Linked DNA regions of Drosophila melanogaster. The protein of the gene in region 1 interacts with the protein of each later gene in a pairwise test. Each region holds a gene or a part of one and is shown in the gene's direction. Other genes may lie near its edges.

Evidence for each region.
Region 2: the proteins of Calx (region 1) and CG13581 interact in a two-hybrid assay, tested with the Drosophila melanogaster proteins (one large-scale study listed by BioGRID).

What each region holds. Positions count from the first base shown.
Region 1 is NT_033777.3:20,971,221-20,988,879, forward strand, and holds the start of Calx (Na/Ca-exchange protein), read left to right. Parts: upstream 1-6,962; 5' UTR 6,963-7,900; intron 7,901-14,758; exon of another isoform or gene 14,759-14,863; intron 14,864-14,926; exon of another isoform or gene 14,927-15,162; intron 15,163-15,283; exon of another isoform or gene 15,284-15,539; coding exon of another isoform or gene 15,540-16,045; intron 16,046-16,111; coding exon of another isoform or gene 16,112-16,409; exon of another isoform or gene 16,410-16,716; intron 16,717-17,659. Other genes in the region: Atpalpha (Na pump alpha subunit), read left to right, coding at 1,953-2,127, 2,286-2,518, 2,591-2,711; CG43446 (uncharacterized protein), read right to left, coding at 15,540-16,045, 16,112-16,409. UniProt on the Drosophila melanogaster protein: Na(+)/Ca(2+) antiporter that couples the energy of a Na(+) electrochemical gradient to the movement of Ca(2+) against an electrochemical gradient across a membrane, which contributes to the regulation of cytoplasmic Ca(2+) levels.
Region 2 is NT_033778.4:24,500,423-24,516,128, forward strand, and holds CG13581 (uncharacterized protein), read left to right. Parts: upstream 1-6,447; 5' UTR 6,448-6,540; coding exon 6,541-7,167; 3' UTR 7,168-7,284; downstream 7,285-15,706. Other genes in the region: Prosalpha4T2 (proteasome alpha4 subunit, Testis-specific 2), read right to left, coding at 763-1,189, 1,370-1,599, 1,664-1,765; Letm1 (leucine zipper and EF-hand containing transmembrane protein 1), read right to left, coding at 9,664-10,017, 10,075-10,371, 10,432-12,749, 14,114-14,186; Ir60b (ionotropic receptor 60b), read left to right, coding at 15,303-15,706.

The sequences.
Region 1 (17,659 bases):
CAATCGAATGATAAATTCCAAATTTCACCCAGAAACTTTTGCGACTGTTTGTTCGTTTGCTGATGCGTTCATGCGTTTTTCCTTGTTTCAATTTTAATTCCACACTTATGAACGTACAAAAATACATTTATTCCACAGTTTTGTGTTTTACATAGTTTTCTTTTGTTCCAATTTCTATGTAACCTACTTATAAGTTGCTTTCTGAAACTCTCAATGTGGAATGAAAATATCTTTTAAATATTCTAAAATCAAAAAATTTCTAAAATGTACCAATCTCTAAAGATTTCGTTTTGATTTTAAACCTACTTTACTTGATTTCTTATGGAATAACTCCTTTTATGTATCCCTCACTTAAATCCCTAAATCTAAGTGTTACATTTGTGGTGTGTTACTCGCACAACAAACTTCAATCCTTACACACACTTATTGTGTATGTTCAAACTATTGAGGAACAACATTCGTATTGAATCTAAAAGTGTGTTTTGCAAACTGTAGTGCCACTATGAAAAAAGCCCAACAGCTGCTTCTAAAAAATTTGGCGAAGTTAGTTCAAAGAAAAACGCTCGCTCGCTCAAACGCTCACCTGCATAAACAATAAACAAAAACAAAGTACACGACCCATACAACAAACAATCGAATATAAGGTGGATCTATTTCCACAAGCCCTTAGACAAGCAAAAGACTGAACCCAACAATCATAAAAACACAAAACCCACAAAAAACGAAGCTTCTGCCGTTACTCTTAGATCAGTTAGTACGTTACTTGTAGATGAGTTTGTTCGAGCCAACTACAAAACGAAAATCGCTTCAGTTGTGTTCTAGATACACCATATGATTGTTATATACCAAATATATACATACCTAGACTCGTTCCGAAATCTGGTTCCAAGTTTCCAAGTCGTGGTAAGTCTGAATGTGAGGGAGGGTGTCCTGATAAACATAGGTAATACTTGAGAATCTCACAACAATGGCAACGGATAATGATTTGTTATGAGTTCCTTGTGTGTAATACTTTTACGTATTTATTACTCTTAAGTTTGTGTTAACGTGTAAGTTTATGATTGAGTTATTGTTTTATGTTTTATGTGATTTCGATCGAAACTTCCTTGAACGTAAGTAAACGAAAGGATGTAGAGCTGCACTCGCCTGTCGTAGTAATAGTGGCACGCTTAAATGTCCTGCATGTTCCGATATGTATGTCCTGTATTTAGACCGCATGTTCAACTAGCACTAACAATAACTTTGCTTTTCACATCCACATCCAATGCGAAATGTATGAAAGCCAAACAATACAATGAAATTCAAACAATTCTGCGCCATCACGCTTTCTATCGAGTGTAGACTGTACGATTTGCTTTAACGCGCTCTTGAAATTAAAACGAGATTTGCCCAGACACTTTCCACGCTACATAGAGTAATGTCTTAATACCACTAAATCTAAACGATAAACATCCATTTGCTTAAACAATCCATAAAAGAGCTTCAAGGTAAAGTGGCACTAACACCAATCTAATTGACTAACCCCGAGTACGATTTGCTACTCGGATCGAGGACTGAACGGACATTTGCGGTCCTTGGGCAGGGTTTTTGTTTGATTTCCTCCTTAAGTGTTTTGTGTTTGCTTTGAGTGTTATTCTTCCGTTCTATTTTTCTGTGTGCCAACGTTTATGGCTTTATTTCAAGCATTCGTTGATCATTTCTTGAGTACCCCGAACGACCTATCTTACGATAAACAAAAATCCTAGCCAAGCCGCGCATGTTCCTGTTTTCTTCAGTCCGATGCCCGAAACTTTACCGCTAGCCAAACTGTAACGAGAAGTGTCTTGCGTCCTGAAAAACAAAACCAAAACCCACACAAAAGAAAAAGTCTTGCCTGCCTTTGAGAGTTACCTAACGAGATCTGCTTCTTTCTCCCAACTTCCGACTTGGTCCCGCCCATTTAACTAACCCAGGTTGATTTCGATGGCCTACGGACAGATCGGCATGATCCAGGCCGCCGCCGGCTTCTTTGTGTACTTCGTCATCATGGCTGAGAACGGCTTCTTGCCCAAGAAACTGTTTGGCATTCGTAAGATGTGGGACTCAAAGGCTGTTAACGATCTAACTGATTCCTACGGTCAAGAATGGGTAAGTCCAAACTCCAATTCGATCTTAAACACACTTCATATTAACTCTGAATTCGTACTTTAACGATAATGTAAACAGCCAAGGATGAGTTAGATACTAGTGACCAAAACTAACCACAATTGGAGCCATTCTAATTAATTTATCCTATACTCCCATAGACCTACCGCGACCGCAAGACCTTGGAGTATACCTGCCACACGGCCTTCTTCATCTCGATCGTGGTTGTGCAATGGGCCGATCTGATCATCTGCAAGACGCGTCGTAACTCGATCTTCCAGCAGGGCATGCGCAACTGGGCTTTGAACTTTGGCCTCGTCTTTGAAACCGTGCTGGCCGCGTTCCTCTCATACTGCCCGGGCATGGAGAAGGGTCTGCGCATGTACCCCCTGAAGTAAGTGGTCCTTTAAAATTAGAATATATCATTAATTAACCTTGTAAATAACCTTCCTTACGAATACTATAGACTCGTCTGGTGGTTCCCGGCTATTCCATTTGCGCTGGCCATCTTCATCTATGACGAGACCCGTCGTTTCTACTTGCGCCGCAACCCCGGAGGCTGGTTGGAGCAGGAGACCTACTATTAAACACCCACACTGCTACACTCCCACACACACAGCCACATGCCCACACACGAATGCACACCACAACAAGAGCAACCAGGAACACCCGCAAACAACACCTACAAACCATGGAGAGCAACAAATAGAAATGTTTATGAACCACAAAACCCACAAAAGCAACACAACCACAGTAATAGCAACAGCAGCAGCAACGGCAACAACAACAGCAACAGCTACGTCTACAACAAGCTACAGCAAGAACATATTACAATATATTTTATTTTTTTAATTTAATTATTTAAAGTAAACGAGGATAAACAAAAATGCAAGCGATAATTATTTTAAACGTTAAGTAAATTTAAATTATAAATTAAAGCTAAAAATAAGATTTAAATAAAGTATAAATGAAAATAAAACAAACAACAAAAACGAACAACAATTTCGATGAAACACCAATCACATCCAGACAAGAACAACAACAAAATCAACCAGTAACTAAGCAAAACAGTAACAAGAACATGTTTTTAGTAAAATTATTAACGTAACGAGAACTGGATGAGGCGATTTTTATCGCCACAATAACAAGATCCCAGAAAGCTAACACACACACACGCACTCACAAACACACTCACAAATACACACACACACACACCGATACACAACGCATGACGAGACAAAGTATATAAGAAGTTTAGAGAAATTATAAAACGAAGTAAATAAAAAGTAAAATGAGGAAAGAAAACAATGAAAACCCCTAGCGTAGTTACCAAGTAAGCCGTGAAAAGTAAAGCCCAATAAAAACCACAACAACAACAACCAAAACAAAAGAACAGAAATTAATTTGCAAAACTTGAAACTTGTGTGTGTAAACGCAGCTTAGCGCAGAAGAACGAAATATATATATAAACAGAAGAAAAACCACAAGAAATGTGAACACGACGAATATAATTGTTTATATATATACACACATATATTATATGGAAAAAATTTGATTATATAAATGGAGCTATACAACAATACACCAAAAACCAAAATTGAAACCATAACGAAATCGACCGATCTGCACTTGGCACTACGCCGAGTTCCGGATAAAGGTCTCCGAGCAATGTTTGGAGACCTGCCGGTCTAGAATTTGTTAAAATCTAATGAAAAAACCAACTAAATGTTTAATAATAAACCCCCTTAAACCAATTGACATGCAATATTATGCTTTGTGTGCATTTAAGCCCAAAAGAACCGATGCCGAGATTCGGTGGGATTAAGTCCCCCGATGTCGATATCGAGATTCAGATACAGATACCATTACCGATACCTAGGCCCAGAAGGAAAAGATAAAACCAAATAAAACTAAAAACCAAATTCAATACGAAACAAAAGAAAACAAAAGGAAAAAGCGCCCACAAAATAAATGTTTGTAAGTTTTACACGGCACAGCGCCCCAAAATGGGGCAAGCCCAAGGCAGTATTCTGTTTACCTTTTCTTTGATTGTTTTTTATCGCTTTCCCTGCCCACACACGCCCCAAAACAAAAACAAAAAGAAAAACAAATACAAAGAACAAACACAACATGAACGGTTGAGCGGTCAAATTGTTGGTCATTACATTGAAGTTCAACGAATTAAAAAGCTTGGCATTGTCGTTATCAAATGAGTGGGTCTGAAAAAGCGGCTCGGGCTGGCTAATTGAGAATTTCAAGTTGTGAATTGTGAAAAATGGATCAGATAGCGATTATAGGATGTTCAATAAGCTCGGCTAGACCGATAAGATCACACCCACGCAGAGAGATACGCCCAGACATTCGAGTTTAATTCGCTGCTGTTTTCTTTTAGCCAACTGTCTTGTTTTCTAACTTAGTGAAGATGATCATTAGCATTGGGGATAACGATAATTATGGCATGTTAGTTATGAAAGAAAATGAAAACTAAACAAAATTATTATTATTAGTTGTTAACAAATTATATTGAGTAATTAATAATATTGATCGATGGATGCTGATGTGAAAGAGATATGATACTAAACTAAAACGAAGCAAAGCAAAAACCAAACGAGGACAAAAACAAAATATAAATAACTCATAATATGGACTACAAATATTTATAAACAAATGCAGAATTATATAAACGTTCGATGGTCAAAGCAAGAACTTGAAACAAAACAAAAACCACAACAAATTTGTCAACAACACGCAGAAGTAAAAACTTGCATGTAACAACAAAACAATGAGTAAACATTTTTAATTTTTTGTTCTTTCGCCCTCCGCTGTAAATGTATTTGTAGATTTAAACAATGATTAAAATAAAAAACTACATAAATAAAACTTAAAAAACAAATCAAAATCTTTTATTTGCAAAAACATGTGGAAGTGGGGTTTAAAAAAAAAACGTAAAATGAGACTTAAGTTGATTGCAAATGCAAAGAAACGTAATTTGTAAAAAGTGCTTAGATTTGTGATCTGTCATTTTATTTCGTAAATGTCCTATGATTTCATGATTGCTATTATTCATTCATTGAATTGAGTTGTCGTGCCAAATAATCATACACATCCGAAATAAAAATCGCGACAGTTTTATGCCTACACACCAACTGGAAACGAGGCTATAAACATAAATATATTGCTCATACGCCCCGTGTTCACCCCTGCCGAATGAGTTGGGATCCGTAACGAAAACAAACAGAAAGCGGACGAAAAAAAATGGACGCCAAATACAAGGTAGCAAAAGGTTGTGAGCGCACACACTGGCACACATGTTCCTGTACTGTACTGTACTTACAGCAATGGCGTGCAGCGTTTGCTTCTCTTTCGCTACTTTTGCTGCTTTCGCTGCTGCTGTTTCCATTGCTGCGTTTATATGGCCATAAGGCTAACGCTATTGTCGCGGCAGGTCTCTCAGGGGCAACATGGGGAGGTCGTTGCGACAGCGGCAACATTTGGGTCTTATTAATTTCCGTTTTGCTTATTTATTTTTACGACGCCTCGCACAGCTCGCCATTCGGTTCGCAGTTCTGGGCCCGTCAGCAGCCGAACCGCCGAGCCATCCAGGTCCCCAAATTCTAACGCAGTCGCCATAGTCAAAAGAACATTCGTAAGGAATTCCACCTTTAAAGCCCCGGTGATACCCTACGATTATTTAGAGAGGCATATTACACAACCGTAGATGGGGAGTACTAAAATGTTAATTCATTGCTTAATTCGATTGCCTTAATTTGCTGCTTTAGCTTTGATTTAATACATGAATTATAATAATAGAAGAGAAGAAGATTACTTTAAATTAGGAAAACTGATTTATAATTAGAAAAAAAAAACTACAAAATATTATTATTTAACTTTTTAAGTGAAGTTTTTATGGCGCGGTATTAAAATATGTATAGGTATTAAAATAAAATGCATAAGTGACTTGAAAAAGTTCGTAGGCGTGATGCTGCATAGAGAGCCAAGTAAAAAGGCGCAATCAACTAAATCAAAATTATACAGGGGAAAGCCATTTATCCGGTAAAACACATACCAATTAAGTTATTTTTAAAAGCTGACTTCAATGCGATCAAAAGCTTTCTAGCCAATTTGAGTTGGAATTGGCGATGTACTTCTCAAATTTGGTTTTGAATATAAATAAATATATATATTTAAATAAAATGTATATGTTGAGATCAATACTGTACTTCAACGCGTGAATAATATCATATTTTAAGCTTAAGAAATTATAAAACAATACAATTTTCAGAAATAAAAGATTTGGCCACGTGAACCTTTATTGGGTGTTGAAAATTTATATTTTTTTGCACCCCGATCTGCTAGTAATCACTTTCCCTAACGGTGCTTATTGTTAATAGACTATTTTCCAAGCATAGAGTACAGCAACTTGTTTCCAACCGACTTAACAGGGGCGTCAAAAACTTATGCGCTTGCTTGTCTAAGACAGCGGGTGGTAGAGGAGGGGGTGTGGGTGTGGGCTATACTAACCAGCAATGCCTCTACACCACCCTCCCCGCCAAACCTTTACACCCCCTGCGAAATGCGCCACTGCAACGAGAGGAAGATGGGGAACATCGGAGAGCGACAGCGAGAGAGAGCGGCGCAGTTGTTATCGCCTGGCCAGTGTTCCACTGCCACTCTGTTCCTTATCCTGTGCACTTTCTTCCTTATCTGTCCCGCTTTCACCGCCCTCGCACTCGCCACTCTCACTCTTCGTGTGCATTTCGGGTGCCCTTCGTGTCGCGACAATCGGCATTTTTAAAGAGGCAGTCGGCCAATGTGGCAGTCGGTTACTGGCTCGCAGGTTAGTCTTTCATTATCCGGCGTTTGAGCGTGTAACGTTTTCTCCGTGATTTCCACACGCAGCAGCGGTAAATACAACAACAACGACAACGAAAGAAGCAACCAAAACAATAACAACAACAATAGAAGAGAACAGCGGCAAACGGTTTTTCGCTGCGCTTCTCCTATTTTAAGTGCCGAGCGTTTTACTATTTTTACTACACAGCGAAACATACACAGATACACATATATACAGAAATATATGTAGGTATTTGTTGATGTGTTTGTTGTGCTTCAGTCAACAATAAAAACAAAAACAGTGTTTAAAGCTAGTGAAATGATCTTCCATAAATAAATTTTCAAAATTAATTTGAGAGCAAAAATGAATTGAAAGAAAATGCCAAGAAAGTGCAGCAAAAAATCAACAACGATGCTGTCGGAGAGTCGAAACTAGGCTAAATATCTTTGCATACTTTTGGGAAAGTTGTGCGGTACAAACACACACACCCGTTCGTAACACACACACACAGGACCTGCGCCTGCGGTCGCCGACTTTTGAACCTGTTTTCTGACCATTGACCATTGACCACCGACCGCCGTGCCGGCCGCCTCTTTTCACTTTTGGCAACGCGGACTGCAGCAGCCGCTGCAAAAAATGCAACTGTAAAGGAAGCTGCAAGAAAAGGAAAGGATGTGCACGAAAACGGCATAAACCTACAAAACTAGCCAAAAGAGTTCAGAGCGGTGCGGTTCAACAGCCTCCGGGTGTTCGTGTCAAGCTCGAAATTCGCAAATTCGGCGTCAGCTTCGTGCATCTGTATCTGTGTATCTGTATCTATATCTGGTGCATCTGTGTGCGGCCATTCTGCAGTTGCAGCTCTGCAGCGGCGAAAATTGTGTCAGCAGCATCGGCAGCGGATCCTGCAGCTCGCCACACTGGCGCCTCCATCTCCGATTGCCGGTAATGTATTCGTTTTAGGCGCATTCTACCCAAGCACGACTTAATCATACGCCACATGTGAAGTGCCGTGCGGTATGGCTAAGGCATTACGCATACGCCCCGTGTATGTGAGTATGAATAGTGCGGGCGGTCTTACCTTGACAACGGACGGGGGCAGTCCGTGACAATTGTCAGTTTGTTTTCCCATTTTCGTTTTTCTATCGATTAAGCCCACTGGCCCCTCGTTCGCCCTTTGTCTGCGAATTAGCGACAACTTCTGGGCCAAGCAGCATATGGCTATGTCCACCGTCTTTGTCTAACGCCTAATTGAGTCTTTTGTGAGTATCAAGAGACGAGCAGCACCGCAGAAGAAAAGAAAAGCAAATGGGGAATCCAGTTGACATCGGCATAAGTTCGAGTTTTAAGTTCCCTTGTGGACAGCTGGTTTTTGGGCTTTCTCGACTATCACATACCATAACTGCAATGGACTTTTTTTGGATCATTTTTCAAATTCTGGGCGTTACATATTTTCTTGATCATGATCGACTCGGCTTGTGATCCGGAAATGTATTTACTGTAGAGGATATAACTAACTATAAATAAAGCTGTATGGCATCCTAGCTTTGATTCTTACACGCTGTAAGAAACGAATGTCAGTAAGGGATATAATGTTAACATTCCAAAAGGCACGTCTCCCATATGAACATATAAAGTATATTAAGACTCCCAAGAAAAAGTAAAGAACTTCGCCAGAAAACGTTAGGCTTATGATTTCAGATTTCAGAGCATTAAACCACAAATGATTATTTATATGAAGTATATTTTACTGTCCCGCTTAGATGAAATTTTTCGCTTATACTGTAGACAGTGCCTAAAGTATCATGCCATCTGATAGGGTATCCATAGAAAGGAACCAAAGAAAACAATCAACACGGAGACTAGTAAACAATTGAAAAGCAAAAAACCCGCGACTCCTGCCCAAGTCGGCCAGCCCCTTGAGTTCTTTTTTCATTCATAGGACGATGGGTGGTAGCATTTGCCTTTGTCAATATCATTCAAGCTTTCATTCGCTTCACTTGCCTGACATTTGCTTACCATTTCAGTTTAGAGTTCACTTTGTTTCCCTTTGTACAAATAAATAGCCATTTATTCATTCACTCGGTTAAGGGGCTCCTTTTCACTGACCAATGAATGAAGGAAGGTCGTCCCATAAGTATTTGTCAATTGGACACAAGTTACAATGGAACTCAGTTTGGGGCTTTATATCTAATCAAACTAAATGGCAGCCATTAACTAGCTAGCTTAATCAAGTACCCAACATCAGCATGACTCGAAGCACTCAAAATGCTCGATTTTCTGATTCTGATAAGAGGAATACCTCGGGTAATTTAAAATTGAGTATGCAGCATATTCAGCGAAATGCAGAAAATCCAGATGAAACAAGATTTTGGAAAATTCATTTAATTTATGGCTCCGTCAATTAAAAGCAACAGACCACACAGCCAAACCGCAGTACAGCTCTCAGATGAAAATTCAGCGCTTTAAAGGCTTAGAGAAAAGTGGCAGGCACTCAAAAGCTTAGGCCTTGCATACGTAGCAGCCGCAAACAGTGGCGAAAAATTCTACTTTTTTCCATTTTCGGTGTGTGGGGCGACCAACTTTTCTAACTAACAAAAAAATAAACCGCGCACATGTGTACACAAAAGAAACTCGACGAAGAAAACTGCAAATATGTAACAAGATTCGGTCATGTTTGATTCATGAAACCAGCAGAAAGTTCCAGCCCCTCACCCAATTGAACAACAATGGTGAAATAAAGTTACAGTTGCTGTGGCCACGGCAACTGGAAGCCAACATTTCGCACAATGGCGCAGAATCAGCAGCTTTAGCAGCTGCCGTGCTTCCGGAAAAAATAGAGCCCCAAAAAGCATACTTTCGAGTGTAGAGTTTATGCAGGATTCCGTTGCAGCAGAGTTAATCATACATACGTCCTGACAGTAACAAATCTCCAGCTACGAGGCATAAATAAAAAAAAATTCACCCAGCTTCGCTTTACATATTTTCCTGTTAGATTTACCGTGTATGTGGGCATCAAATTGCGCATACGCCCAGTAAGCCGTCCAGATGGGCAGATCTGCAGGCAATTTGATTATGGCCAGCGAGGCATAAAGAACGTAGAGAAATGCTGAAATAGGGCTTACTTCTAAGCCAGCCAAGTCGAGCATAAAATGCAAGCAGAGTTTGGTGGAAAAAAGGAAACGCAAAGGACTCGATTGCTCAGTTTCTCGGGAACGGCAATTAAATTGCGATGGCGATGATGGCGGAGCCGGAGAATATGTATAAATTAAAAGAGATAAAAATTCCATAAAGATGACAAAAATCAAAAGGAAAGAGGAAAAGGCGAGGGCCATAAATAAAGGAAAAACATCTGAAAAAGGGACGCGAAAATGGAGACAGAATCACAAAAATGGCGGACAAGGCGCTGACAGGCGAGCCTTAAGTCAGCTTTTGTGGCGAAACAAAAGACGCGCGAAAAGAACAGGATATTGGGATATCTAAATTACCGTTGTCACGCACCTAAGTTCACACACACTGAGTCAGACACACACATACAGAAGACATACAGCAAGCTAACAAACACACTCACAGCACGTACACATCGAAATGTCGGCATTGTGTCAGCACGGAAACCAAAGTGAAAACCTTTCATTTCACTTCTCTCCGCCCATTCAAATGGTCGAGTTCCATTGACTGAGCGAACAAAGGCCAAGGAAATGATAATTTTCCGCTCAACAGACACAGAAATATCTACATGTGTGTGTGTGTGTGTGGATTCGGTTGTCGAAATAAATGGCGAAGAAATGAAATTGAAACGCTTTCAATTAACTCTTCGCATTGGGTAGCACTTAATCCTTGTCACATTAACTGGAGCTCGCACTCTGGTTTCAATTAGGTCGATGTGACGCGTGTTTGAAATATTCATCGAGGGCCCAGCCAGCAAAGGGCATAATCAGGTGCGTTAAGGTAAATAATTTAAAAGTGTGGGGGGCTTCTCTCCACACTGATACATGTCGGATAACACACACGCCAGAGGAATCTTCATCTGCCCTCGTTCGAACTTAATTTCCATTTCAATTTTCTCCATTCACTGAGGACCCTATCTTGGCGTCTCACCCATTCCATCGTTGTGCCCTCTCACTTTACTAGAATTGGGCCAAAACTACACAGACACACTAGGAAAATTTATTTTGTGAATTTTTGTTTAAAGAACATAAATTTAAATTTCTTGTCTGCTTATAGATTATAAGACCTCCGGCCAAAAGTCAACGAACTAAATATTTTAAACCCATTTTAAAATGCGGTTTAAACCCGGTGTTCTTAACTATCCCGGCATTTCTGGAAGTATGAACTATTTAAGTTAAATTGAGCTTACCAAATTGATTTTGCTCAGTATGGCATGTACGTAGTTAGCTAGGGGGCGCCATTTTGGCTCTGTTTGTCGGCTCCCTAATGGATTTCCAAGGCGGAGCATAACAATTTGTTTGTGGGCCGAAACTGTTGCTCCGGCCGGAAAGCTTGCCACATGATTACTACGATGATAACGGCGTCGGTGATGATGATGATTATGGGAATGGGATAATGTGACTTTTCCCAGCGATTTGAAGGCAGCCTGCACCATCGTTGCCTTTTCCATGCCCAAGCAAGCACACAAATTAAATGACAATGGCAATGCTGTACAGTGCTTATCGGCTATGAGGATCAACGGTCCGTCCAGCAAATCAGCATTGAATCATTGGGGTAAACAAAATAAACGAAGAACTAAAATCCCTTGGCAAAATGTTTGCTTTGCTGATTGCCACGACTTAATCAAGCTATCTGCGTCAGCATTTACTAGCACTGGAAGATTGATTGATGCACCGACTGCTTGCTACTTTTTTCCCGCCCGGGGTAACATCTGGTCAACTGGTAAACCATCCATCAGGTATCATCATCATCGCGGATCTGACGAACCTGCTGCTGACACACGGCAAATTGTCGAGTCCAGTCGCAACACTTTGGCGAACACAACTGGCATTCTTGTTTCAGTTAAAGTTTTTCCGAAAGGAGGGAGATTGAGGTTGGGACAACCCCTGCGGAAGCCAATGTTGGGTAGGAAATAGTTTGAGCTAACCACCCACCCACTTGATATGGCAATGGCGAACAACTTTAACAACGCTATCTAAACCAACTTTGGCATGTCAGGGCCTCGATTCCTCCGCATTCGAGTGAAAACTGGTTTGGGGTGGAGCTAAAAAATCAATAGGAGCGCTGCGACATACACACGCATATATTTATACGGCACGCAGCTGCTTTCCCCATTTGCCACTTCCCAACTCCATCTGCTTTCGCTTCAGTCTGTAAATCATGGCCAGCAAGTGATAATATCCTGCCCGAAAACTCGACTTGACTCGATTTGACACTGCCACCGAATACCGCGATTATTCATTTAAAGCGAGCTTATCGCACGGAGAATTATTCTAATTTTGAGAAGCAGTAAAGAAAACTATAGAAGCTATGGAAAGTAGTGCAAACAGTTTACTTGTGCATCCCATATATCTTCCAACTTAATGGGGCTTGTTTTTAGAGCATTGTTAATTATAATTTATGATCGAGTTTTTGTCTGAGACTCGCTATTGTGAAATACAACTGGCATTTACTTTCAGCCAGATGACTTCATGGTTGTTCCGGACTCATGGAAGCCCTATAAGAAAATACTATTACTCAGAGCAAGACGTGACTAATGTGTGTACCAACGTCCTCGAGTTGTTTTCTCCAGTGGTAGAGAGGAGGAAATCCTCTAATGACCTTTTCTGCGTGTATTTCTAATGCACATAAACGTTGGTGGCAGTACATAGCGCAATATGAATGGCAAATGGCATCCACATCCTCTGTGGCATGCTGACATTTAAGGTTGATGTGATTTGAAATCAAATCAATGTCAATGCCAGCCCGCGATGCTGATGCTTTGATATGCGATGCTGGCCTTGATTGCGCTGCCTGATTGCCATTGACCAGTGATGTGAGTCCTTAAAGGCAGATATGGAAGTGCATAATTGACAGACCAGCAGGCATCTATCCGCCGCACACTAGTGCAGCTCCCACACACACGTAAAGTGAGCTCCGAGATTGGAATGTGTAGCCTACTTTCAGGCACGCAGCCTAAAAGCCTGTTTCCGCTGATTCGAGAATTGGCGCCTTGTTGCGTCCGTTCCGCAGTCAAGTGGCAAGCACACGCCCACTCACGCCCAAGCACTTTCGTTCAGACACTCAGGGAATGATCAAAGGATATACACTTATAAAAGTATTATTAAACGAAATCCAAAGAAGTGGAACTAGAATGCTGATTATACTACATTTTTATCAATTCTTCTGCAATATTAGTTAGCCATTAAATAAATTAGTTTAATTGTCAAGTAACCAAAAACTTTTAATGCAGACCCATTTTAAATGATAAATGATATAGTTAAATGTGCCATTAAGCGGTGCTTAAAAAGTCAAACATGATAAATTCGCTAAACGTGCGACTATTTAAATCTTAATCCGGAGATTTATTCTCGGATTTGTGAGCGTACCTTTGCAGAAGTGTGAAACACAGTTATAAATAAATAAGAATGCTCGAAACTCACACAGCCGCGCACATCCTCACAGAAAGAGATATAAAAAAAGGATATTGTTAAATAATAAACAGTTTACGCTCTGACAACAACACAACAGGCGTGAAAATGAAGGGCGGCGGGGCGTGTCCGTTGAACTGTCAACACACAATGATACACATCTGCACATCCACTCACTCACACATCTACAGCAGATAAGGACCCTCACACTCACACCCACACACACACACCACACCGCACCACACTCAACACACAAGTTCTGTGACAAGAAGGCATTTCAAATCGACGATTCGCATAACGACCGTCATCAAACTTGTTGTTATAACGTCGCAGCTACAGCAACAAGGACAATATCAAAATGTCGCCAATAACCGGGGGGTTTACGGTCTAAAATATGCTGACAACGCCAACTGTTCCCACTCGGTCCCGTATTAAACATGTCATTTTACGTCCCAGGACTCGAATATCTAACCGTGAACAGTGAGCACTGAACACCGAAACGTATCAGACGTTCTCTTGTTAGCATAACGAATCTAAATACCTTTGTCACGGAAGCCTGACAAATCTAGTCCGTGAAACAAAGCCCCCACAAAGGATATCTCACAAACTATGGCAAACCTTATCTGCCTGGCAATGAAATCACCAACACTCAGAAGGCTCTTTCTTGTGGAAAGCGATTTATGGCTTAGGTAAAGTGTGCAAAAACATTCACTCGCAGATTTCGCCTGATTTGGGATTACACCAAAAGACTTAAATTCTCGGTGAAAGAGTCAGGCGACTTGTGCGTTTTCATGTTGTAGATATTTTTGGCTTTAGCTAAATATTTAATTCGGTTACTTTCGGTTGGGCCACAGACCTTATCTAAGCCATGAGCACATTTTGTGTCTATGGCATATAGATAGATTGTATCATTAAGACAATGACGCAATAGTAGCTATCAGGCAATACTCAATATGAGCGGATCGTATAACACCGCGAAGCAGAAAGCGCGAATATCAAGATCTAGAGTAGCTATCAGGTATGGTCGCACAAACGTAATTGCCCCGACTTATCGCCAGTGGCTCGGGACCCTCCATTGTATATCTCCCTATCGAGTCTCCGTATCTGAGGCCGCTCCGTGCGTCATGTATATGCACATACATATATGTACATCTATATGTTAGCCAGGGGATAGAAACGGGGCCAGTTGATATCGGCGGCTGCCAAAGTGGCGATTTGATTAGACGACACGCGAATGCTCTGATTTATACTTCACGAAAATCAAATTCGAAACAGAGCTAACGATTTACCCAAGAGTCAAGCACCGAAAGGACCGAAATTGGATCCCCAGGTGAGTGCGTGCCACGCCCATCACTCGACGCCCAGCCACCCACGCATCCCGTTATCTCACCAGTACTGCGCACCTGGCTGAGCGGCAGTCCGGCGGCTCAGTTGCTTGCCAGGAAGCGAACCCACCCGACGGGCGGGAGAAACTATGCATTGTCACGCCTGAGACAAACGGCAGGGCGATCAAGTACAACATCCACTCTTGAGACTGCAGCGTTCAGTTTCCGGTCAAGTCCCACTTCAAGATTCCCCCATCATCCTTATCCCCGCCAGCGCAGAGTATATAGTCAATTCCATCCCGGAGTGAGTATCCCTGGCGACAAATCCCATAGCATTTTACTTTTATTATTCGAGTCGAGTATGAGATGTCTAAGACTATTCACAGTGGCGGTCGAACGACTAGCACTCCAAATATCAAACATTTCGTTTATAGCTATTTTATTGTGAAACCATAAAAGTGAAACTTCTGTGAACCGAATTCTTATACTCGAGTGATATCAAATTGTATAAGTGTTTCTGTATCTACAGAGCAATTGATACCCTAAATATTGGCAAAAAAATGAGTGATTAAATGTGATTAGAACAGTGTTATATTAATAATTACTGATAATGCTTGCACAGTTCCTATTCTAGAAATGTGTTACTTTCTTAATATTTCACTGAAATTTCATATGGAAATATTAACAATATTTTATAAATTCTACATTGGTTTGAAGAAGGCTTTTGTTGACAAACTCGTGCACAATGATATGTTTAGGCCAAAATCCAGGATTTAAAATCGTATAATATATAGGATCCGGTGCCATCACTTTAAACGATGCAATTTTTCGTCTTTGCTTATTATATATTTTTCTGACGATGATGTCATCGGGATTGGGATAAGAGAGTTTGGCCACTATGTAGTGTTTGAGGGCATCTTCAGTAGTTGAGGTTACGAGTCTGGATACGAACACAGCTTTCATTGGAGGTACAGCTTTAAGAATAACCGGATTGGTATGTAGAGGTAGTACCACGGGAGCCGCATTATGATGCCATATTTTCGCTTTTTGCATATTCGTAGAATTGTGTTGAACAATAGATGACTCTGCATCTTCAACTTCTTTGTCATCATTAGTATCTTCAAAAGTGTGTAATGGATTAGAACTTGAATCACTGTCCACAGGGTAAATCGGTTTTTGAGGATCTACTATTAAATAATAAAAAAGATAAATTAGTCGATTAAATAATCGGATAGTTAAGATCTGGATCTTACGAGACGTAATATGCGATTCTAGCTTCGCCAACTTTTCATAGACGGCTCGAACTTCCCTAAAGAGTTCAGTTATTTCCGTACGCGTTTGCTTCATAAATCTTCCCATCTGAGATTTGACAACTCTGCAGGTTTCACAGGTCCATTTGAGTCCAGTTCTTCCTTCAATCATTTCCACTACACTATCAGTTATGCCCGCGCACTTCGCGTGAGCATATTCGTCACACAACCAGCACCTAACATGCTCATCATTGGAAATCGAATTATTGAATTCGCACCCTTCCATACAGCAGATCAACATTTCCAAAATTATGTTGGCAAGTGTACAAAGCAAGCAAACAAATGAGTAATATCACCAGTCGGCGGGTTGGGTCCACAATAAGTGGAAGAGATAACTGTGCACGACACTCCAAAACTTTAATAATTTTTTTTAGTACAACAATCTTTTTATTCAAACAATAATCACACCAACATCGTATGCCTTTGTATGAAAAAAATACAACAAATAAATGCGTTCGAATATAAATTTAAAACCGATCTATTGTATAAATATAAGAAATAACGGTAACGTCTAAAAAATCTTTCCGGAGCACTGATAATTGCGTGAATATGTTTCGAGGTTCAAGTGACGAATGACGACTTATTCTTTTTTGTCAATATTGGGGAAACAGACCCCCAAACTGCCAACTTAATCGCTAAACCAAGTTCTCGTTACTTTAACAATATAAGTTGAATGACACTTTACCAGTACGAAAAAAAAAGATTTGAGAATTAAAGCTGTAACTCGTTTAAACTAGTACCGAAAGGCATATACATTGGGATTACGATAAGATTGTGTTGTGAAAATCAAACAAATGTCATATCACAAGCATAGAATACTAAATATTAATTATTTCAATTCGTACCGAAAAATATCACCTGGTGTACTAGTATTTTGGTCGTATGCGTACATTCATGACGCTTTGTGGGAAAATAAATGAAATGCCCACGAAAAGGCGCTTAGCTGGGAAACGGAAAATATGCGAATGAATTATGTGTGCCCACCTAAGCATATGGTACATATAGTATATCAACATGATTTGCTGTAATCCTCAAATATCTGCCCGGCATATTGCGTTTGGGGGTCTCTACCATCGCATCGTCTTTTGTTCGCGAGGAAAGTGTTTTTGAAATGAAGAGCCACACGGCCAACAAAATTAGCACAACATTTGCATGGCTACCAAATGATTGCCTGCATTTTGTAAAACTTAGCTGAATACCACAGACAATAACAACAAGCCAATGAACAAATAGCAATACGAAATTATAGGGCAGAGAGTGAAAGGTGGAGGGAAATCAAATGACAGAGAGCTCGAAACGCAAGCGAGTGGTTAATAATAAAAAGGGGAATCATCACACGCATAAGGTTATATCAGCATTTAAATACTAAACAGCAATTCGTTTGTTGAAGGCTGTTTAAATTTGGATTTACTATAGTCCCGCATTAAATGAGATTTATTACTAGAATTTATGTACTGCTCTATTTGGAGCATTAGATAAGATCGACTTTTT
Region 2 (15,706 bases), on another chromosome or scaffold:
AAACACGTCTGTAATGACCAGAACGTAGTCCTGATGCTCCAGTTGCTCAAGGGGAAACGAAGGGTGCGGTGCTCCACTATTGACATCATTGATGCTGCCCTGATGAACCCTTCAGGCAGGTCATACCCTTATAACAGCATACACCTTAACCCATGAAACCCACTTTCGGTTGAAGCACTTGATTTCAGGAAATGAGTGGGACTCAACTTTGAACGGCCAATATGACAGCCTGGGGAGCCCAGTGTAGGTGGAGCAGGAAATCGCAAATGGAACTCACGGCGAAAAAATCGACAGTACTTCTGCAATGGGAAAAGACCTGCTTTAATGTAAAGATGCCTTCAGAAAACAATGTTCTTTACATCAGGATCAAGGAGCATTCCTTGGCATCTAGGAATTTATTAACCCAATCAAGAGAAACCATCTCGATTGACAAACATTTTCTGCATGTGTGCGCGCACTTTCTTATTTTTCCTCTACAAATTCAATTCGCATTTTCACTTAAAACTTTTTAACTTGGTTGGCCTGAAAGGAGCGTACGCGTCTACGCCGGAGAGGGATATAAAGTAAACAAATACGCCCTGGAGACAAATTAAGTGATTTGCCCGCTTTACACATTTTTCCTGCTGATTACTTTTCTCCAACTCCCCGGCCGAAATTGAATTGCCCAGAAAAAGAGAGCACGACCGGTTATCAACTTTTGATTGGTCATGAAAATGGCCAGGGGCCATGGCGAACAGAATGGATCAGGGTGGCCGGCCAAAACTAGGGAGCACGGGGCCGCCGACTGGCCTCGGCCTCGTCTTCAATTTCCCTGCGAACGGTTCGCTCCAGATCGGCCAGGACCTGGTGATCAATCATACGCAGTGGCTGGCGGTACTTGAGCACAGCCACCTCCATTTGGGTGTGGTTGAGCGAGGACACGCTGACCAGGGTGCGGACTATGTGCTTGATGGCCGCTGCCTCGTCGGCGATGGTCAGAATCTCGTCCGCGTGCTTCTCCATGTAATCGCGGACCGGCTGGCTTGAGCGGCCGGTGGTGTTGGCCCTCCACTCGTAGAAGATGCCCGAGGGATCCGTTTGGAACAGGTGCGGAGTGCCATCCTCGTCGAAGCCCCCAACCAGACAGGACAATCCAAATGGACGCCTCCCATTGCTCTGCGTGTAGTTCTGTTTCAGCTGGGCTATGTATCTGCATGGGAAGCGGAAAGGACATAAAAGGTAAATCCAAATTTGCCTAGGGGGATGCACTGAGAGAACAGTTCTTAACTTTTTCGAAAGGGCAGGAAAAAGTATGCATGAGTATTTTGTGGTTTGCAACTCAGCTCATTCACTGCATACTTTTCCCTGTGTAGGCAGTGCTCTTCCTCACCGGGTTATGTACTCCACGGTCGTGGGCTTCTCGAAATTCAGACGATGGCTCTGGGCCTCCATTTGGGCGCGGCTTACCAGGATCCGTGCGTCCGCGGTGAGACCCGAAAAAGTCATCACCACGTGGTCGTCGAGCATGCAAATCTTGCGCACCATGCGCTCCTCCTGCAAGTCGCCCACGGAGCGCTTCTCCACGCCGATTACAATGGCGTTGTTGGTGCGCAGACCCATCTTTGGTTAGTATTTGGAGGATTAACTAATAGGCAAGTGCGGGTGGCCTCCAGGTAGGACTTACCACAGTGGAACCCCTTCGGACGGCCTCCTGGGCGTACTCCACCTGCAGCAGGTGACCGTCGGGTGAGTAAATGGTCACCGCGCGATCGTATCGCTGAGCCATTGAAGTGGGGCTACTTATTTGAAATACTATGGAGTGTACTTTGTGTATAAGATCGAAATTTTAGTATCTGTGCTACTTCTAAACGCCTGCTAGGTGCGTACTGGAAATCCACTTTTAATCAATTTTATGAAAACATAATTACCCCTTTTGAAGACATATTGTTTTAATTGCATTTTTTCTTCAATTCGTTTATCATAAAATGTACTTTTTACTAGCTTTTATTTATATTTTATGTTTTCTATTAGTGTCCTCTCAAACTGTTATGCAATTAAATCATTTTTTTAATAATGAGGTAATCCGCTACAAAGGCAAATCTACATAATCGAATCCATAGGCGAATTAACAATTATCGTGTTAATCGGATTATCGTTGTCACAACAAATTGGGGCAATTACATTAAAACTGTTTCAGCCGCATTTTGCGAATATTTCAATTTGTCGGCCTACCTTATCCCCCAGTACGATTTTCCAGCAAGACCCTACTTGAGGAGGTCCTGTGTCCTTGGCATCTGCTCCCCGCCTGAAATGCTGACAACAAAATCGCAAAGTGCAACAAAAGCGCAAATCTCTGGCGAATGTAATCGTAATCGAAACAGCTTCATTTTGCTAATGTGCCTGGCCAACCGGTGAAGGACTCCGCCGGAGAGTCGTCCTTTTGCGACTATACGGAGCGCGGAGCACGGAGTCCTGCGTCCTGATGCGGTGCTTAGTATGCCGGCAGCGCGCAGGTTGGCATAAATTTATATTTAACATTTTATGACAGCCGTGCGCCCGCGGAGGAGGAGTGGGGACAAAAGAGGTCCTTTAGGTGTAGCGCATACTCACCAGGATTAGGCACGTTCCAGCCGAATATAGCCAATTCCCAAAAACAAACGTTGCCAAAAGTGCCGCTGCCGAATAAATAAATTAGGCAGAACTGCAAACAAACGACCAGCAAATAGAATCACAAAAATGCAATTATTTTACCAATTTACACACGTTGTCGCCCATGCAAAGGTTCGCAGTTCGGAAATATGTTTTATGCATTGATGGCCACGCGTTTTGTTTAAAATTTTATTACCCTCGCCGCGGGCCAAGCGCTAAATGAATTAATAAGGCCATTTATCAAAATTGACAATCAAAATGCATTAGCCGGCGCCAAGCGCGAAAGCATTCACAATCCGTGTTTTCCAAAGTTACGAGTTAACGATTCAAGCGCGGAAAACTTCAGGACCCATTTGAATACAGAACACGAATTCGTCACTTGAATAGTTAAATATTTTCGAGATTTATGGTTATAGAGGTATATATATGTAGGTATATCGCTTGGCCACCATTCTGTCTTTCAACAATGAAAACAGGAATATCTCTTTGTTTTTACGATAGAGCGAACTAATTTCATTTTTTTTTTTTTCAATAACTAAATACACACTTATAATGTGCAAAGTCCCCCATTAACAGTTAAGCTCTTGTTCAACTTGTTAATTAAATAAGAATTTTCGATGCTAAGACCATGGCTTCATTAGCACTCAGGAATGTTTTGGCCCCAGGCAATGTGCGTAAATTAAGTATACGCCGTGTTTTCGGAGCGTGCCCCTGCCGCTTGGCACTTGATTAAGCACTTTTGCCCCATAAATAGTGAGCATTGCCAATCGAAGGGAGAATTGCCCCTGAGACAATCGAGTAGTGGAGTGGGTTTCCTTTTCGGGGGCTGGGATGGGATTGAGTCGAGCCATAAGCGGAAAGGCGGAAAAGCGGGAAAGCAGACGAGACAGCCACATAAAAGCAGGCAACAACATGTGCTAAAAACAGCAAGAAGTTTGGCGGGCAAAGCCGAGGGAACTTGCCACGATTTGTTTGCTCCCAGCTTAATTTGTAGCGTCAAATGGTGTTGATTGTTGTTTTTCTTGCCTCTAACCCAGCAGCAGCCAGGACTCAGCACCGAAACCCCAAAACCCACTTAAACCCCCGTCGCCGTCCAAACTAAAGACCCAATAAAAGTTAAGGACGCTGTTGCGGATAAACAAGGTTTGGAGCACAGTTTCAAGTGCTTTCATTGTTCTCGAGCTCCCACCACTCCGATGTGTGGAAATTAATGACGAGCGATTTGAACACGACGGGATTGGCATTGGGATAGGGATTGGGATTGGGAGTGGAACTGGGAATGGGAATGCGATCGAGATGGAATGGGTCGGTGGTAATGTGTTTACATGGTGAAAATGTTGGCAGACCTCGAACGCCTGTGGCATGTGGCATGCGAAAAAAGCATATTTCAGCAAGTTGACAATTAATCATTGTGTAAATATACAAAATATATGATTTTCATTACTGTTCCAGACGAATTCCTTCTACAGTTTATTTCCGTCTTTATTATTTTCCTATCTTATCCATTTAATGGTGAAATATTGATATAAAATTAGGTAGAGACAAAAATTCCATTTATTAAATATCCCTCTGTTAAGGAGCATTTTTATTAGAAAAGGTACTTCAATGGCTTTAAACTGGCTTTGGGAGCTGCCGAGGTCTTTGTATATGTTTCTGCCTCCCCTTCAATCTCGGCCATTTAATCAGCTTGTATTTGTATCCATCGCCCCTCCCCCACAGACGTCGAACGTTTGTATTTGTTTGGTTGGCCAGGACAAGCTGACGATGGCAAAATGCAAATGACCTTTGACCATTGCCGGCAGACTGCTTCCGAGTCGGAAAACTAGAGGCTCCTGGTTCCCACGGCTGCGTCTGTACATATCTCTATATTACGTATATGTAGCGTTGCGTGTGTCTCAACTAAGTAAACACAGCGCGGGGTGTTTTGAGCGGGGTGCTCAGGCATTCACCTGAGCCCTTTTTAATAAACCTAGCAATGCACACGCCATTGTTGACATAGTCCTTCCAGGGAATCATGCGCGACCTGCTGCTGCTGCTCATCCCCTGCTGCTTCTGCTTATGGAAATGTAGATGTTGTGAGTGCCTGGCCCCAAAGTGCCATTTTGCGTCAACGAACTTTGGCCTGGTGCACGGCATCCGCCACTCAGGTCTCGGATATCAGGTCGTTTGCTCCAGCCTGCGATAATATCCTCATCTTCTCGGCAGCCAAAGAAGATTCCGCCGAAATTTTAAAGATTCGCCAAATTATAAGGCAACCAAATCTTAATTGAGTGGTCTTCGGTAAGTTTTATCCTATGGTTTCCGGTTATCCTCCGGATGGAGCTCAAAGTGCAGAGCATTCCGAAGAGCTCATATTACTTGAGGGGCAATCGCTTATCCACAGCGCTCCGTTTAATTACAAACGAGATGTTGCCGTGCTGCGAATTACGTGGGTTGGTTTAGGACTGGCAATAATGCAATTTAGAAGTTTAAGCCCGCCCGCCGCCAATTGCAATTCCATTTCCAAGTTGCGAGTTTCGAGTTCCGAGTTCCTCCCACGCAACCGCGAATAAAGTGCAACCAATTGCAGCAAAGTGCAACTGCAGCTCCATCAGTCAGCGGAGCGGCCCCCGATTTCCCGCCTTTCCGCATTTGCCGACTTACTGAAAGCCAAATGGCGACAAATGCCGCGCGAATTAAGGAGGGCAGGGAAAGGTATTGATGGGAAATCGAGAAAAATGCAGCACGCGAAGGAAAATGGAAATGGAAGAGAGTCAAGTGGAGTGGAGTGGGTTTCCACTAATGGTCAGCGAGCTGGAGGAAGGAGCGAGTGCTTCAGCTGTCGCGCACTTTCGTCTTATTAAAGTTGCAAGTCGTTCAATTTTTCAGTTCCGAGGGGATTGCACTGACACCACGCCCATCTATCATATCGCATTGGGCGGAATCGATCTGCGATACTGTATCAAACGTCACATAGAACTCGCAATCGCAGCGAAAGTATCGAGTTTCGGTGATATATTGCGATGCCCACAGATAGCAAAGCTGGGACCGGAAACAAAACCCAACGTGCGGCTAATTTATGCAGTCTTCCTGGATTCCTGGATTCCTGGAGGCAAGTTCAGGTGGCAAGGAGGTGCACAAACAAAGCCAAGTCCCGAAAAACTACCAAAACACCTTTAACGAACCCTTCGAATGAGCAGGTGGGAGTGACTCGGAAATAAACAAGCCAATTGGAACGGCTCCAAATCAATGCTCCACCACATATATCCTGGGCGTCGCAGGAGGGAGGGATGGGAATGGAAGGGAGTGGAAGGGAACGACCTGTCGATTTCTTTGGGCTTATGGAGTTTCCTGCTGCAACTGCACCACGACACACGACCCCATGCATATAAACATTTCACAGTGTGGCGACATATCTGAGATATTTTTATGGCCACCGTGTGGGACACGCTTCCTTTTGGGCCGGGCTAAAAATACACGGAAGCGCGCGAGAGATGTGTCTGTGGAGCGCTCTTATCTGTGTATAATCCACCTTATATGTTCTCACCACCACCACACAAATTGAAAATAAACACAAATTCGGGTTACGAGGGAACCGAAAATCCAGTTGCAGATTACCATTTATTGGGAATTAAAGCTGGCATTTATAGAACGTGCTTCAGCACAAACTCACGCTGGCCATTCGGAAATATTAGTTACATTTGATACGGTACTTTTTTCTGCGGTTCAGCAGATAAAATAAACTTAAAATTCGCCATGAAAACATTTAAGAGGTTTCCGACCACAAAAGTAAAAGGCCGAAAGTTGTTGCCCTGTCAGCCGGTCTATCCCTTTTCCATCAAAGTCAAAAAATGTGTCTTTGGTGTACAACACAAGCTTATATCCCACAATAAACACAATAAACAATTAGCGTCCAAATTTTAAAGTAAAGTTATGCAGCGACTAGCTTCAGTTAATTCAAGAAATATAAGGCCATCTATTTCCGCGTTGCACACGGAGAAGCCCCACAATGTGGCCAAGACTTCTCCAGCTTCTTCTAATCTATCAGATCATACAATTCCCGAGAAGACAGCGCAGAAATCGGAATCGAAACCGAAAACGAAATCAACTCAAAATCAAAGTGCAGGACTAGCGAGTGCTAGGTCACAACTGGTGATAAAGTCCAGTGTGGGTGCTACTCCCAGGCCAGGATCAACGCCAGGCTCTGGAGCCACTAGGAACACTGCCTCCAGTAGGACCCAGCACTTTTGCATTCCCGTGCGGAGCTGTTATACTGTGACCAGCCGCACTCGCCGCTCCTCCGAGCACGCGGCCTTCCTGTACCATCTGTCCCAGTTGGAGCAGACCGGATTTGGCAAGAGCGCGGTGGATCCCATGAAGGCCGTGCCGGCGGCTGAGCTGCAACTGCTGCAGAGTGGCCAGAGGACCACCTACCTGGAGCGGCGGTACGAACGCAGCCCAGACGACAAGTACAACTATCCGGAGGCCACCAGCTGGCGATATGGGTGGTTCCACCGCGAGTCAGATCTCCTGCAGAAGCGCGTGCCCAGGCGAGATTAGAACAGCATTTCGTCCTGTCCTGCCCAATTTCAATGAAATGCTTCTATCCACAGAGGCCTCTAAAATATTCGGATTAGAATGCGTACCTCTTGCTTTTCAATATAAATAAAAAAAAATTTACAATAAAGTTTTTAGTTATATCCCAACTGAATATTCGGCGTTCCTGCAAAAACTAATAAAACGTAAAAGGGAAGGGCCAGCCAGTTTAGATCAGAATAATTCAGTTGGGCTTGATTTGGCCCAAGGGCGATATTAAAACTTTATTAAATGAAAGAATGTCCAAACCTGGCAAGGCGAAATAACTCTATCAAATATGGTTGCATGCAATCCATCCGGCAAACGCATCTGGTGTGCGCCTCGACGAGCTCATCCCGGGCTATGTGTGGAGCAGATGCCAAGAGCCAAGAGCAAAGAGCTCCACTGACAGCGCCACTTTCCGACAGGCCGACCTTTGTTGTTTTGGCGCTTTCGAAAGTGCAGCAGTTTTCAAGTTGGACGGAAAATGAAATCCAGCAAGGACAATTGCATTAGTCTGCCGCTCGCATGACGTACAACGGGGCGTATGCTTGTTGTCTGACATTCAAAGTGGGCCAAAGTTGGGCAACTTCTCGCAGCGGAACTCGTTGCGGCTGCCTCTCTTTTGATTGACTCATGAAAGTCGGCAACTTTTTAATTGTTTTGTAACATTTCTTCAAATAATTTTGCAATTTTTCCGCCAACCCGCCACTGGAATGAGCATTCTCCGAGCGTTGGCTCTAAAACTTACTAACTTCGTTCCATGGCGCAATGCTTTAAGTTCACCCGGTTCGCTTGTCCTGTGTCCTCTGTCCTCTGTCGCTGATTGTCTGCACTTCAGACCATTCATGGCAGATTTCGAGTTTCATTGTTGCATCCGAAGCACTTTGAGCTGCGCAAACTTTCGCCGACCAAGACGCTCTGCCAACTTTCCCGTCCTGCCCATCCAGCATATTCCGACCAGCGACCGACCCCTCCGGATCACCGGCTCCTCGGATCCTCTGGTCTGTCTGCGGTTCCTGGTTGTTGGGCTGTTGGGTTGTTCGGTGGTTGGATGGTTGGATGGTCGGGCTTGCCTGATTGCAAACAACAGTTCCCTCCCAGCGGAACTGAAGTTTATTATTATTTGGCTTGTTTCGCGTTTTGTCGGTTCTATTTACCTTTAAATAAATTTCCGCTGTATTCTTTTCCAGCGCTTTGCGTCTATTTGTTTTCGATTTCGCTGCTGGTCGAAAGTTTCGCATGTTTACGCACAAACTGGGATTGATTAATGCTGGGGCATACACAAGTTACTAATCCTACGCAGGGCCATATTTAATTTATTTGGCCGAAAAGAGGCCAACATAGCTGGGAGCCGAATGCTTTACGAATACCACACTTTCTTGGCCCTCGCTGAATATGATGGGAATTTATGGGTCAGCGGGCAGGCAAAGATGGAATTTTGGAACATTTTGTGGTAATTTTTATTACTTCAATAGCCCAGGATATGATGCTGAACATGCAGTGCCCCCCCACCCCCCCCCCCCCACCCGCACCCCATCGGACAAAACTAACTTGGCCGTAAAAGTTTGGGTTCTGCGGTTGTCGATTCCGAATCACTGCTGGCCAGTTGGCAAGTCCGGGTTTTTGGGTGCGGTTGTGGAACACCATCCCGCCCTCGAGGAAATAAACAATGCAAAAATATAATTCTGAGCAATCAATGCGGTTCGTAAAAGCAATTGTTCGGTCGGAGTCAGTCATTTAAAGTCCCGAATGGCCATTCAGCAGTAGTTTCTAGGAAATTGGTGATATAGCCGTTTAGAACTTGTGCATCGGCATTCAAGGCGAGTTCACAGATAATAGGGCACTTTCCGACTCGTTTTCCCGTAATTACAGTTCGTCTTTTGTTTTTATACTAACTTTTATTGCGAAACACTTTTACAAATTCAGTTTGCTAAGTCAAGCACACACATTATTGTTTAGATCTATCACGTGGTTTTAATTATTCTCCAATGTCTCGCCACCTTTCGGTATTACCTGAAAACCGGTCGGGCGAATCAACTTGCTTGATAGATATACGTACGTATTAATAGATGAATAAGTCGTAAATTAACATTTCGCCTAATGATCACAATCGCTTCGCAAATTTGGGCCAAATAAAAAGGAGCTACAAACAACTTGCTTCGAATGGGTTTTATGTAAAACTAGGTCGTTGGAAATCAAGATATATGTGTAAAGTGTACATTCTTATGTATTTCTAGTAGTTTCTGATTTGTGCCTTACTTAAAGAAGATACCGTACTACAGCCACGCGTTAAGTATAGCAAACTCTCCTCATCCTGCTACGTTTATGTTAAATGGTAACAGTTAATTCATTGCATAGTCGGAACAATATGGGACACACGAGCAACACCGCCACCGCCCCTACTCCAACACATCACTTCGGCTTAGGTTCACGCTTAAGAGTTGTCTCAGCATCTCCCTTCTTGGACCGTCTGACTGGTCAGAGCAGTTTCTTGGCCGTTATCGTCGTGGACAGGGTCGACGCAGTGGCCGTTGCTTTTTTTGACGTCGGTGGTTGCGATGGTGTTTGTATCGTGGGGGGCAGACCAATGTCTGTGGAGGGCAGGATCTTTTCCATTTGACGCTCGGCCGCCTCTCGGAGCGCTGATTCCGTCGTTGATCCGGTGGCAATACCGCTACTGCCACTGCTGGGGCCTCCACCTGACAGTCCGGCTGGACCGGACCCTGTAGAAGCCTTTGTCGGGGATTTGGGGTCTGACTTTGGGTCCTTCGCTAAATCGTCCAGGTCCTTTGCGTTGTCCTTCAATGTTTTGGCCGTATCCTTGAATGCGGGCTAAATAAACTGATCTGTTAGAACGCTGACCACTGTATGTCAAAACCAAAGACTTACCTCTGCTTTTAGCTCCTTCGCTTTATCGGGCACAGTTTCCTCCTTATCACGCATCTCGTTGGCAATATCCTGAATCTCCTTGGCGGAATCGTGAATATCATTAACAAGCTTGGACAAGTCCTTATCCGCTTTGTCCACCTCAGACTTCAGTTTCTCAGCCTCTTTCATGCTCTTAGCAATGGCCTTCTCAATCTTCTGCTCTGCCTGCAGTACTTGCTCCTTGTCAAGCAGACTGATGAGTTCCTCAATGGCCTTGTCGCTCAGCTTGATGTTATCACGACCAATGGATTCCAACACCTGTAAGGAACACCAAACCAATTGAGTGTATGTTCAGCCTAAGGAACATGATTTTATTACCTTACGAATATCGTTGACGGTCACCACGCCATCCTTGTCGGCATCAAATTTCTCCAGTACAGCTTCGATGTGCTTAAGTCGTGCCTCATCGCTAGTTTCCTTCAACACCTTGATGTTATTCATTAAATCGTCGATGTGCACGATCTCCTCGTGTCGTCGCCGGGACGCCAACTTGGAAAGTAGCTCGGTAAACTCCTCCAGCTGCTTCTTGTCGATATTCGTGGCCTCGCGGTCGATGCTCTGCACCGCCTTGGTGATCTCGTTCACCGAAATCACACCGTCTTTGTCCGCGTCGAGTTTGACCAGCAGATCCCCGACAACCTTGAATCGCTCTTCATCGGATGCCTCCTTCATTCGCCGGATGGTGGCGACCAGCTCGTCAATGTGCACCATTTGCTGTGGTTCCACAGTGGGACTGGACGCCGCGTAATCAGAGGATTCCGCCTGCTTGATTTGATGCTGCCTGGCCTCTAGGTCGTTAAGCACATTATCGAGTTGGGAAATCATCTTGTTGACCCGATTGTAGAGCAACTTGGCCGCCCGGCTTTCGCGCACAGGCTCCTTGACTACCTGTCGCACCTCGCGTAGCTCCTCCACATCCTCCTTATAGTCGGCCAATTCCTCCTTGAGTTCCTTGATTGTTTCCTTTTCCACCACGAGCTGTTTATCAGATGAGAGTGTCTTTAGGGCCTCAGACAGCAGCTGTACATCGGTAGAGGAAATGCCCTTGTCCGTCTCGGACACCGAGGACTGTTCCTTGTGATCCAGAAGATCCTGGGAACCCGACAACTTCTCAGCAAATACATAAGGAGCGGGAATCTCCTCCTTGATGGCCGATCGTTTTGCGATGGTCTCTTCCCGCTCTTCCTCGCGCTCTTCGCGAATCTTGCGCTCCTCCTCCTTGATGATTTCGATCTTCGTCTTGTTGTCCACCTTGCCCTCACTCTCCCCGATAGCGTGCCGTGTGTGGGCACCCACTGCATCCGGTAGCACACGAATCGTCTCCTTGAGCTTATCGGTGGTGATGCTGTCGTCGGAAATAAGCATGGTTCTTGACAGGAGCAGCAGCGTAGGCGGTACCTGTTCGTTCAGGGAGAGATCTATCCACTCCTTAAGCTGAAAACGAAGACGCTCCTCCGTTAGGCCATATGCCCGCATTCCACGTGCCTTGCACGCCTGTTGCAGCTCTAGAAGGTCCAGGGAGTCGACTCCTTCGCGGGCAATAACGCGGTCATCGGTGGCCAAAGATCTCAGCTTCAGACGCAGCTGGAACCGCAGCAGCGTGGTGGTGCCAATTGTGTTCAGTTCAAGGACGCGACAAAGAGCCGCCAATTGCTCCCGGGACAGTGAATCTAAGGTGATCTCATCGTCGAATCGCTTGGCGAATTTGATGATTTCATCGTTGCTCACTGGTTCAGTGGGATTCCGGATTTTAGTGAAAAAGGCCTCGAACTGCTTGGCCTCTTCGCTGCTGTGTTCCTTGTGCTGGACGGGCATCTGATCTAGGGTCTGCTGCAAGAACTTGGCCACCTCCAGGCGAACGCTAAGTGACTGCCGGAGCTTCTCCTGTCGATCGGTCGAAGTCTGGAACGTGGAGGGCAGCATGCCGGGGAAGAATTTTATGAACAACGGCAGCAGCAGCTCCATGAAGGGCACGATGATGAACACCGAAAAGGGGATCAGACGGAACAAGTCAGAGGTGGTCCGCTGAAGCTGCTTGTTCTCGCGCCGCGTGAGCGTCTTGCCGTTGAGCACTCGCCAAAGGAGCTTAGAGCAAATTGCCACATCGATGAAGAGCAGCCTAAAGCCGTGGTAATAGTGCACCAGCTCATCCCAAATCCGTGTGCGGAGTGGTTTCTTTGGCTTGGCCACCGACTTGTCTGCGGTCTTGGCCAAAGACGTCGTTGAGGCAGTCGCCGACGTGGAGCCCGCGGTCGCACTAGCGTTTTGACCCTTCTCCGAGGAGGCCGTGGCGGTAGCGGCACTGCTGGCACGAACTGCCGCGGCCTGTCCATTGGCCACCTCCTTCATGATCTCCTCCACCTTCTCCTTCTGCTGGTTTTTCAGCTTCTTGACTGTTGCGTCGATCTTTGAGCTGGACGTCTCCAGCAAAGTCCGGCTCGTATGCAGATGCCTAAATCCATAGCCGGAGTAGTCGTATCCATAGTTGGCATGTGGCTGAAACCTTCGGTAAGTGCCAAGCGATCTGCTTAGCTCCAGCACCGAGGTCGAAGCAGATCTTCGCGGTAGTTCATCTTCTTTGGCGGGTTCATCTGTGACGTTCACCGAACTGCATGCGCAACAGTTCGATTTAAGAACTGCAAAAAAAATATTGAAAAATATGTTAAGTAAGAAAAATAATACGAAGTTAGTAAGATAAGTATAGCTATATTTAAAAACTGGAAAGTTCAAGTGATTTCTGTATATCCGATTAAATTACAACAAAGAAATAAAACAATGTAATATTCTCACAAAGGAATCTTTCAGGTCAATAACCTGATTCCATACGATTTCCCGAACAGCCTTTCATGTTTTAATAAAAATAAGAGCAGATGAAGGGCCAAAGGAAAATAAGGAAACAAAGAACGAAAGAAATAACACCTAATGAGTTATTAATCATAGCTACAAAAAATGGGAAAAGTTTGTGGTTGATAAGCGCACTGCCGCTTGACTATAGATTTTGTTGGGATTTTCAGTGAGCTCGATAGTTGATAATAGAAAGGCAAAGATTGCCGACGACAGACCAGATAAATTAGCACCTGGAGTGGAGCTTACATAAATCCCAGAGCGAGAAAACGAAAATTCGCACAACCGGTGAGAATTCTCAACCTCTATAAATACATGCTTAGCAAACATTCAGACGGCCGCGTCGACTGCATTTGTTTACAGCGCACTTTTCCTTTTGTCTTCTCTTTTTTGATTTTCCGATTCTTGGCAAACGCTCAAGGTAAATGATTTTGCAATTGAGTCGAAGGAGGGGAAACAAGAAGAGGAACTGCTGTGGAGAAGGTGCGGGTAATTCCGACCTATTTCAAGTCTCTATGATTGTTTCAATTGTGGGTAAACAATACTATCTGCTCTGGACTATGACTGTACTTTCCCGCAGGTGCCTCTTTGTCTGGTCTTGCTGGTACCTGGCTGGTCTTTGGGCCTCTTCCCTGGCAGGTGATTTCCTACGAAATCTGAATCTGTCGCATTATAAGTCACCAGTAGATACAAAAATTGTCCAAGGTCTATAAGAATAATCCCATCTTTTATAACCTAAAAGAACCATTCGGCGTGTGGTGCAAGATGTTGAAGATAAAGAAATTATATTATCGAAATTAAGCCATATGTATAGGCTGAAAGATAAGATTGCCAGTTGTCGCGATCCAAAGTCAACAAATCGTTGAAAACAATACGAATAATTAAATTAGCAGCTAAGTTTTCGAAGCACTGATACGTCAGTAGAGCTCCGAAACCGGTAAGAACTCTAGGAATGAATGATAAATTTGGTGTTTACTCGAAAACAAATAAATTCGAAGCCCCCCACTACATAACTTCCAGCGCACGTCGCAGTTTCCAGCCAGTCAGCTGTTCTTTCCAGCGAAAGTGCAGTCATAACAAAATGCCCGCTAACACACACGCGAATGGAAAGTTTTCACGCGATTTCGCCTTCGCTTCCCAGTTTTGGCCAACTTACAGCGCTTGTAGACATTCTGGGCCAAGTGACTCGTCCGCAGATTGCGTCCCTTGTGACGCAGCAGGGCGTTCATGGCGGTGGCGGGTGGTGGTGCAGGGGGGCGTGGCTAGGCTCGGCCTCCAAACCGAATCCAAAGTATTTTCAAATGGAATTTTGAATTTCCGACAAACTGTCTGTGGATTGTGTATCTTTGGGTTCTCTGTCGCTCGACTTCTGATTGCTTTTGCCTTATTTCGCCTTTGTTTTTCTCTGATTTCGCTTGTAACCGTCCTCGCTGTGCTTCTCTGTTCCACTTTCGTTGGCGCAAGTAACGGGTTCCTTCCCACGATTCTCGCCTAATGGAAAGTAAATAGAAGGTGGGAATTCTGGTTTAGCCTACTGCCGATTTGGTTAAAAGTCAATACATTGATTAGATCCCAAATTGGTTTTCGGCTGCAAAAACACACACAGGCATACACACACACACACACGCACGCACGCACTGAGCTACGTCATCGACGCAATATCGCGCGATCTTGATTTGTTTTTGTTTTTGCCTCGCACACTCCTTCACACCAAATTACACAACACAGCAACAAATTTCGAAGTATCGCATTTCGTGCGAGTGACAACCGGTTAAATCACGCCTATAATTTAGCCGCCGATTACATCGAGCCCTCAGTGCAGCTTATATGTAATCCATTTGTCATTCCTACCGTGCTAGTAAATAATAAAATCTAAACTAAACCGTCTGTTTTTTCACTTTTCTCACGTTTGACATCAGAGAGACCGTTCTGCGAGTGCTAAAAAATACCAAATGTTAATTGCCATAGTTAGGGGGACTCCTGCGCTTACAGACACATGTAATGTAACTAACGATGTAAAATAGTTGTGTAAAATGTAGAGCCATGTATTTGAAGAAATGCATGAAATGAAGAATTAAATCGAAGCATCTTCAATAGCAACATATATTGCAACTTTAACCTTTTTTTTATCTAGCTTAGCATTTTATAGCTTGTTCTTAACAAAAATAGACCACTTTCGATTAACACACAGCTCCAATTAAATCCTATGACATACGATTAACCATTGTTCCAAAAACAATGCGTACTTTTCCGGCAGTTATACGACTTAACTTCTTAATTACCCAAAAACCCTGAGAACTCGTGCAGTCTACTTGATTCCGCACTCCAGAGCAGACAACTCGAAAATGAGGCGGAGTTTGTATCTGATCATAGCCATCGGATTGGTGGACGTTCACTGCGTATCCCTAAGATACATTCTGAATGCTCTCGAGAATGAGTTGCAGTACAGAGCGATTCTCCTCGTAGAAAGTGCGAGTGAAATTGAATCGTGTTGGGAGCAGAAGTACATTCAAGGAGCGGTGCCAATTCTGAACTTTAATGCGAATCAAAGTTTGTATCTTAAAGATGCGCTTAATACGAATATACTGGCACTAGTTTGCCTAAACGAAAACGTTGAGAGCACCATGCAGGCTCTTTACGAAAATCTCGAGGATATGCGCGACACGCCCACCATACTATTCGTCCTTTCGGATTCCAAAGTCCAGGATGTCTTTCTGGAGTGTCTGCGAAGAAAAATGCTTAATGTCTT